Arabidopsis thaliana: one gene and its partner. The protein of the gene in region 1 interacts with the protein of each later gene in a pairwise test. Each region holds a gene or a part of one and is shown in the gene's direction. Other genes may lie near its edges.

What was found.
Region 2: the proteins of emb1644 (region 1) and AT5G62440 interact in a two-hybrid assay, tested with the Arabidopsis thaliana proteins (one study listed by BioGRID).

The regions. Positions count from the first base shown.
Region 1 is NC_003076.8:9,813,660-9,818,348, forward strand, and holds emb1644 (Small nuclear ribonucleoprotein family protein), read left to right. Parts: upstream 1-1,840; 5' UTR 1,841-2,086; intron 2,087-2,207; 5' UTR 2,208-2,244; coding exon 2,245-2,247; intron 2,248-2,345; coding exon 2,346-2,387; intron 2,388-2,519; coding exon 2,520-2,618; intron 2,619-2,723; coding exon 2,724-2,801; intron 2,802-2,870; exon of another isoform or gene 2,871-3,008; intron 3,009-3,228; coding exon 3,229-3,265; intron 3,266-3,396; coding exon 3,397-3,504; intron 3,505-3,622; coding exon 3,623-3,645; 3' UTR 3,646-3,959; downstream 3,960-4,689. Other genes in the region: AT5G27710 (T-box protein), read left to right, coding at 1-5, 80-222, 613-683, 801-896, 1,042-1,134, 1,277-1,359. UniProt on the Arabidopsis thaliana protein: Component of LSM protein complexes, which are involved in RNA processing. Component of the cytoplasmic LSM1-LSM7 complex which is involved in mRNA degradation by promoting decapping and leading to accurate 5'-3' mRNA decay.
Region 2 is NC_003076.8:25,071,320-25,075,918, reverse strand, and holds AT5G62440 (EMB514 (DUF3223)), read left to right. Parts: upstream 1-1,849; 5' UTR 1,850-2,001; coding exon 2,002-2,298; intron 2,299-2,987; coding exon 2,988-3,299; 3' UTR 3,300-3,802; downstream 3,803-4,599. Other genes in the region: AT5G62460 (RING/FYVE/PHD zinc finger superfamily protein), read right to left, coding at 72-410, 723-725. UniProt on the Arabidopsis thaliana protein: May play a role in ribosome biogenesis and in determining the rate of cell division. Involved in a process essential for nuclear and nucleolar functions.

The DNA.
Region 1 (4,689 bases):
CAGAGGTAAAAAAAGAAGCTATTTTGTGAACTGTTTGATCTTATGGTGTAGTGATCTGATTGATGATGTTAATGAACAGGAAGTGAACTCATATTTCGAGTTCTTGTTTCATCTAATTGAATCTAGGGGACCTAGTGTTGGATTGAATGTTTCATTGAGTAGATATGATTTGTTCCATGGCCATTTATTCCTTGCCTCAGAATCTGGACGCCTTGGAATATTGTAAGTCTCCTTTGTCTCCTCAACACACACTAGGACTCTTGAAATAGTAATGATGATCATGTTCTGTTACTGACTTCGTTGTGTAAGAATCGAGACGCTTTGATAGGCACTAGAATAGTAGATATAAGGGGGTCTAGACCATTTGGTTAATTGGGAGCATTTAGGCTTTGAGAGTGAAGAGAACTCTCTAGGGTTTGTTCTTGTGTTCTTGAATGTAACCAACAGTTATCAATAAAGGAAGAATGGTTTCTGATTCTTAACACAATTGTTGCAGTGTTTTTAGAAAGGTTGAACGTAAGTAATGAGTTTTGGGGAATATTTATAGAAAGTTACATGGTTGAGCTAGGTTTTGAGTACTGTTGTTGACTAGTATCTGATTGGTGATGGTAGGTTTCATGCTAAAGAGTATCCAGCCTATGACAAGAAAGTGTTTCCTTACAACATGGGATATTGCCAGAGAGGTAATATGGGTTCTTGTCCGTGTGACTGTGAGTTTTCTTGCAATCTCTTGAAACATAGAAATGGTCACAGAAATCCCTTAAATCTTCAGTATTATGATTGTATCTCCTTTTTGTTAGGATCTGACGTGAAATACAATGATTCAATGAACTTGAGGAATATCCTTTGGCTTGCACCATTACCTAGCAACTCTTCTCCAGATTGGGTTGCTCCAGGTATAATATCTGTTTTCATCTCTGAGAGTAATAGAAAAGATCTAAACACTTCATAGTTTCAAGATGATCTTGTCTTTCATTAGTATCGTGGAAAACAATTGTAGTGTTACGTTTGACATCTTCCTTTCCTTTGATTGATCTGTAGGTGTACTTGTGGTTCTTGATGCGCATCCGGATGGAATCATATACCGAGATCTCATCCCTGACTATGTTAAGTTTGTAAGAACAATATACGAAGGTTTGAACAACTCTATACCTTCTCTCATCTCACTCATCAATTTGCTTCATTGTAGATCACATTTGATTACACATACATACACTCAAAGTCTCTTAAAGATTTATGCTCTATTGAAACTTTATGTCTTATCCTTCTCCACCAGATGATTTGGGAACAACCGCAGTTGATGTCAATTACTTGAATGTCGGAGCTCACGAACCTGACTATCAGCTTTTCATGTGCTGAAACAAACCAGTTACAGATTCACAATTACACAGTTGTGTGTAATTGAAACTTTGATTAAGATTTAGTTACTGGAGCTGGTCGAGGTTCAATAACGTTCGAGTTGGTTGATAATTTAGAGAGGTCTGAAGTATTGTCGGTTACAAAATAGCTTTAACAATCACATTGCTGAGGCTTTAAGCTTAATTGTAAAAGTTTAGGATTAGATTTGACATATCACTTGGCTTTGTTTGATTCACACAGTTCGCCTTAGTGATGTAAATTAATTAATTTCGAGAGCATCAATAACATATTAATGATTAGTTATTTTCCACCAGGTAACCATTGCCAACGGCTACAAATACACTTTGGTGTAGACAAAGTATACGAAAAATTAAAACAAAAAGCTCCGATGCCGGGAATCGAACCCGGGTCTCCTGGGTGAAAGCCAGATATCCTAACCGCTGGACGACATCGGATTAGTTGGCTAGATTGATATGTTTAACAATATATACTAAAACAGATAATATTATAAAGTTAAGGGACTCGAGTGCAAAACTCAAAAAAGTTCCCATTGACCTAAAACTAAAAGACCACCGATTCATTAGAAATCCATCCCTCTCACTGTCAAAACCCGAGAAGCAGAAAAAAGCAAAAAACAGATTTCGAAGTTTCGACGCCTCTCTATTCTTCGATCTCTTTCATATTTGAATCGTTCACCTTCTTGCCGATCTTCGGAGTATATTACAAGGTTTCTCCCTTTTCTCTCAGATTTTTTTTAGTAGCTGAATTAGGGTTTTTGTTCCGTTTTCGCTATTGCTTCTTCCGCATCTTATAAAGGGTTTAATGTTATACTTCTCTGATGTCATCAGGTTCTTAACGGATCTCTAAATCTTCTGATTTAAGAAGATGGTAAGTTACTAGACAAACTTAGGGTTTTTTTCCTTCTTTCTTGTTTGCGTTAAAGTTTCAATTTTTATTAACTGAAAGCTGTTGTTTTGATTTTATAGCTTCCTCTATCGCTGCTTAAAACTGCTCAAGGGCATCCTATGGTGAGTAAAATTTCGACCCTTGATTACAATTTTGTTATATATGAAGTGAAGCTGAGTTTAAGTGAGCATTGCATTAGGGATCTAAAGGAACTTCCTTTTACTGTAATTTTGAATCTTGTTTTGTTTTGGTAGCTCGTGGAGCTTAAGAATGGAGAGACATACAATGGGCATTTGGTGAATTGTGATACTTGGATGAACATCCATCTGCGTGAAGTCATATGTACATCAAAGGTTATCTTATGTTTTCATATGTTGATACAAATATACTTTGTTTAGACTTCGTGATGAAATTTTGTGTAGCTGACACTCATATATTTTGCTGCTTGATTACTCTAGGACGGAGATAGATTTTGGAGGATGCCGGAATGTTATATCCGTGGTAACACAATCAAGTACCTTCGAGTTCCGGATGAGGTAATTTTTTTTTGTGTGTGTGTGTATATATCTCTTGCTTGATCTAGTTTTTTCTTTGTTCCCCTCTCTCTGGAATGATGATGCTTAGCCAAATCAGATATGTGCTCCAAGAGGCATTTTTCTGTGGAACCTTGTTCAGCAGATGGTGTGCCTCTTGTTGTAGTGCGTCTTAGACGATATCACAGGGAATGGTTATTGCTGACCAGAATGTTGACCCACTTTTATGGACTTTGCTGTGTTGTGTTTCTGATGCGATTTTTCTCTATTGTTTCTACTTTATTTCATTCCCTCTAAAATCAAATTATATTCACATACCATAAACGATATCTTCATCTAGAAGGACAGTCATATGCTGTTTCTATTTATGTTCTTACTGCTGCAACCTAGATTGAGTTAACTGACTTAAATTGATTTCTTCTCTCTTCAGGTGATTGATAAAGTACAGGAGGAGAAGACACGCACAGGTATAGTATTACTCATGTCTATATTGTACCTTTACTGAGATATGCTTCGAGTTTTCTGAGGTGTTAATATTTTGCCAGAGTAGACATTGAGAATACTTCAGGTGTTAATAACGATGGTTGAATATGTGCAGATAGAAAACCACCAGGTGTTGGACGTGGAAGAGGACGTGGTGTGGATGATGGAGGAGCCAGAGGCAGAGGCAGAGGAACTTCAATGGGGAAGATGGGTGGCAACAGAGGTAAAAAATACACAAACAAAGCTTGTCACAAAACTCTGATTTTACTAGAATACTTCAAATATCTGTGTCTTGCCACAATGGGATTTAAGCTAAAACTCTAATATGTTATGAAAAACAGGAGCAGGTCGCGGCCGTGGTTGATGCAACAAGTTTTAAAGACTCGCTGCCAAATCTGCTAACTTCCCATTGTGGAGAAAACCAAAAGTTACATAAGAAGTTGGTCTGTTGTTGGTTTTCTATTAAGTATGTAAGGGATAGGGAGTGTGTTTTTCGATTCTCCTTGTGATCTTTTCGAAAAATGAAATTTGTCTTTTGCCTTTTTGTGGTATATGTGAAATTCCAATTGTTTTCATTTGCGCTTAAAAATGAATCTTTCAGGTCTTGAATTTATATAATTGTTAGAGAATTTATACAATTAACCAACGACAGGGTTTTTATAAGATCTTTGGTCCATCTTACCCTTTTATTATTTTTCTTTTTTTCCTATCTATTCTTTTTTTCCTCTTTCACCGGATTTTCTCCATCACTCGTCGGCATGACATATAAGATTAGATATGATTTAAAAAACGCATGTATTTCAAAGACAAAACATGCTCTTAAGTCTTTACATTGACTTGTAAATTTTTGTCAAGCTATCTAACAAAATCTCATATTTTTTTTTTGGAACAGATTCATATTTTTGTCAAGATTTCATGTTATATAAACAAATTACATGTCTTTTATCCAATATATCATTAGTATTTCATAAAATAACTATGTTTTAATGTAATAATTATACATATCTGTCAATATTTCACGTTATGTAAGGAGTCATATGTATTTCTTCAAATATCATGAAAATTACATATTTTTCTTCACTGTATTTTTACAATTGAATTTTCCTCTTCTCAAATCTATCGGAAGTCTTATTGTAATATTAGAAATTGATAAAGATATTTTCGTCAATATACACCGTCTAACGTGTGAATCCATAGTTCTTTTCTAACAAAAACTAAACTTATGATTAATATCTTTATTTAATCTCAGAATTTGGCTATCTAGTAATAACAACCTAATTATTATCTGAGTAAATCCCTAGAAAAAACTAGTAGTAATGGAATTTGCATGAGAATATGAGTATTTTGGTCATTTATTTTATTTTTCTCAATGTAAACTTAAATATTTATGGGTAAACAAAAAATAAAA
Region 2 (4,599 bases), about 15 Mb from region 1:
GAGAACTGTTTTAAACGAAAGATACCAACAAAAACAAATAAAACAATGAGATTCATTGATAAAATTATCACCTTCAAACTGCCACTACAAGAACAAGGGGACTCGAGGTTCTTAACGGAATCCTCCTCTTGGCATATACGACATTCAACCGATTGGATGAGCGGTTCCTCTTCATCATCAACATCGCGTTGTTCCGTTGTCTCTTCTTCCTCGGTTTTCTTACCATCCATAGATTTAGTAGTAGACAGGCTTGTGGAACCCTGAGCTCTAGAACTCTCTCCAGAAGATTCAATAGATTGATTGGATCCTCTATCTGAGTTTAAACTTTCAGGTTTCACGAGACGGTCAGTACTTGAACTCTGATCATCAGCCATCTCTCTTTTAGCCTCAATGTGTAAAAAAACGTTGTCCTGTTAAAAACCAAGAAAGATCCAAAGATTCAAAATAAAAATCTCATAACTCTTATAATGATAAATGTTCCATCATCAACACAAAAATCTCCATTTCTTTGAATCGAAACATCATAATTGAGCTCAGACAATCGATTTCATTTCATTAAAGCGGAACAATTCAGGGAAAATGTCTTGGTGGAAGAGATTAGGATCTGAGTTTAAAATATGTCTTTGTCTCCAAATTTCCCCAAATTTTCAAGACATAAACCTAATCGGAAAATCCCCAAATTTCAGAATCACATCTCAACCATGAAAACAAAAGAGAGATACCATTCGATTCCATCACAATTCAGGAATGAAATTGAAACCCCAAAAGTCACAGAAATCAAAATTCCCAAATAGCAGAATCAACCAACCATAACCCAAGAAGAAAATGAAAGAAAAAAAGAGATAAAAGAGAAGATGATCAAATTATGATTACCTATAGAAGAAGAAATATCGTGAATCGCAGAAAATGGGGGAAAGAAGCTCTCTTTCGATTTCTTGAAGGGCACAAACAGCTCTCAAGATGAAATTCGGACAAATGTGTTTTCTTGTTTGATGTTCGGTCTGGAAAAATATTCAGATAAGTAAATCAAAATTTCGAAGCGCGTGTAAACAGATAAATATATAATTAAATACACAAAACCGGAGTTATGGAGGTTGACGATTTGACACGGTAACGTTATGATAATCAGATTTTCACAAAAAAAAGTTTTTTTTTTTTTTGTACCTATCTATCTTGGTTCTTTTTAGATTTTAGATAATATTACAAAAATAACTCTTTACCAAAATACGATAAAATAATTCCATTATTTTTAGAAAATTTAAGATTGAGGTGTTTGACTGTTGATAGATAATATGGTAAGATTGACTAGAAGCAAAAAAAATATATTCCAATTATGTCAAATTTTTGAAAAATTTAAGAAGTTCCATTAATTCCACGAGATGTAAATAATTTCAAAAGATGTTCGTTTGACTTTGACATTTTCCTCTTTGGCAAAAATTGTGATTGATCAATAAGTTAAGTCTCCAAGATATCCCGACAGACTGAACATCTAAAACGTTTAGGTATCCCAAAAATTATTTTTAATAACATTGTAAATTATATCAACATTTTTTATCCAAAAAAAGTATAATATGATTTATTTGTTAAACTATTATATTAAGATTTGAGTTTTTATTCTATTATTTAGAATTACTGACTATTATCCAAATTTTCTACAACAGTAAAAGTAATTTGTAGACTAAAAAAATATCTTGAGATGATTAATAAAAAAATATATTAGAAAAATGTAGACTTTAAAATGAAAAGATTTAAGAGACGTAAAAATAATAATTGGACAGATCAATGACGACAAATTAGTTACTACATTGAAAATCCTGGTTTTCATGTAGTGTATGCCGTCGAGCCAAAAAATCAAATAGACCGAACCAGTTCGGTTCAATCGGAAACCAAAGTCATATAAATATACCGCTTAGACGATTTCTGTAGGTCACACACCCTCAAGCTTAAACCCTAGAAATCGTAGAAAGGTGAAAAAAAGGCGGAAGCTTTACTAGCTTAACAATGGCTGAAGAACAAGAGATCGTCGATTCCCTGTCAGCGGAAGTGAACCCAGACCAGAAAGTGGACATGGAAGTCGAAACCGCGACCCCGAAAGCCGAGACCGGCGATGAGAAACGTGAGAGAGAGGAGACAGAGGAAGAAGAGAACGGAGGTGAATCGAAGAAGCAGAAGGTTGGAGAGGAAGAGAAGTCAGGTCCGGTTAAACTTGGTCCCAAGGAGTTTGTTACCTCTGTGGCGATGTTCGATTACTTTGTCAAGTTTTTACACTTTTGGCCAACTGATCTCGATGTTAATAAGGTAATACATATTTGGGTTTACTCTTCGTCTTTGTCTTTTGGCTTTGTTTATTGTAAAGTTTCAAATTTTTTGGAAATATTCATTCCTTTGCTCGAGACTTATATAGGTTAATCTAAGAGCTCTGATTGTGATTATTAAGTTCTGTGATGTGTTTAGGAAGATGTTTTATCAATGAATCTGATGATGATCGTGCTTTGTATTTAAACTAAAAGAAATTGAGAATTGGGTTCGCCTTTGTATTGGTCATATGATTTGATTTTGGATTCAGTGTTTGGTGTTAGAATTTTGTTTTTGTCTCAAATTAGTGGTTGTTTACAATGATTGTGGATATTGTATTATGTTTAGGGAGATGATTGTGGATATTGTATTATGTTTAGGGAGAGGATTAGTGAAGTGGAGATAGCTTGTAAATTGGACTCCTTTGCAGCTTTTTTACTAGTTGAAAAGTTCAAATGTATCGTGTTCTTACTGATTATATGATTGTGGATTGTGTGTGAATTAGAAAGTTTTTTTGGGTCTTGATGTCATATAATGGTTAGAAGAATGAAGTTAATGTCAAATTTTGAGGGCACAAATAAAAGATAAAACATTGCATAGTCATGTAATATATTACAGTTGTTGCAGTTTCTTTTGAGCTTCCAACTAACTAACTCGTTGTACTGAACTTTGTTCTGGATTGTACATTTCAGTATGAGCACATGGTGCTGCTAGATCTGATTAAGAAGGGCCATTCTGAGCCTGAAAAGAAGATTGGAGGAGGAATCAAAACCTTCCAAGTAAGAACCCACCCAATGTGGAAAAGCAGATGCTTCTTTCTGGTTAGGGAAGACGATACTGCAGACGATTTCAGCTTCAGGAAGTGTGTTGATCAAATCCTCCCATTGCCTGAAAACATGAAGACTCCTGGAGCTAACGGCAATGGACATGGTGGAGGTCGCGGTGGCGGTGGTGGAAGAAGAGGCGGTCGTGGTGGTGGTAGAGGAGGGAGATTCAGAAGATGAATATGCTGACACTTGATGCCTTATTTCAAAAGAAAATTTTGAAAATTTCAGATTTAGTTCTTTTGCCAAAAACTTTAAAAGTTATGATCTTGTCTAATGCAACTGCTTTTTGTTGGAGAAAAATTGTCAGTTTATATAACCCATTATTGCTGAAGAAGAAGAATATTGTCCCTACTATCTTGACAACATCAGAAAAAAACACAGACGCGTCAATAGAACTAAAAATCTGGTTGATCTAGTTTTTAAAAACCAATAATTCAAAAACGAAAAACTCAAATCAAAATCTAGATGAAAAAAAAACACTTTCCATTGATAGTGTAGTGTTGATCTGGTTGCTAAATGATAATGTTAAATAAAAAGAATTGGGGAAGTTATGAAAAACCGACATTTTGACTTTGGTAACTTACTGTGTGTGACATGTTCACCGTTTACGACCCTTCTAAGAGAAAGACAATGCCCTCAAACTAAAGCTGTCTTAAATCTTAACCCTGCTAAAAAATGATTACATGAAGTGATAACACTGGTTGGCACACGTCTTGGAATAATGGATTATTTTGAAACACATTATGAATTATAAAGAAACATTATCCGATATTCGGTATTCGGATTAATATTCCAAATTGTCTTCTTACACAATATACAAATAGACACATACACAAATTGTCTTTTGAAGATGCAACAAATTTTGTTTTGTTAAGCCTTCTTAGATTTAGGAAGCTTCTTAACTACGATCTTACTGCAACACAATCAGTTTGTGAAATCTATGATCTGACCAAGATGCAGGTGAGTAAGGGACCTACAGTAGAAGTTGACATGGAAAAAAGGCAGAGTTTGGTAAATCATAAAATGTGGCAGAGACCTTTTTGGTAATAGCCAATGAGAGAGCACCTCATATCTATTACCTTCTTCTGCAGTCTTCTTATCTTAACGTACAACCGTTCACTTAATGAAATTCGTCAATGGATGTTATATGGTTGTGAAGTTTTTTTTTTGTTTTTTTTTTTATAATTGATTTTCTATTAATGGTTGTGATTAATCTTTGTGTATAAAAGAAGGGTATATGTTTCTCCAAACCAAAAAGTGTAGATCGTTTTCAAATGAAGGATTTTTATCCTTCTACCAACCAATTAAGAAATTGCACGTAACAAGACAGCTCTCGTGTGAGCTGCACCAAAGCCATCCCCGCGATGCTGACATTTACCTACCCAAAAGTTTCTAAACAGTTTACATAATTGTTTTTTTTTCTTCAATTCAACAATAGATAGATAATTGTTAAGATATGTTAGAAATCTTATATCAG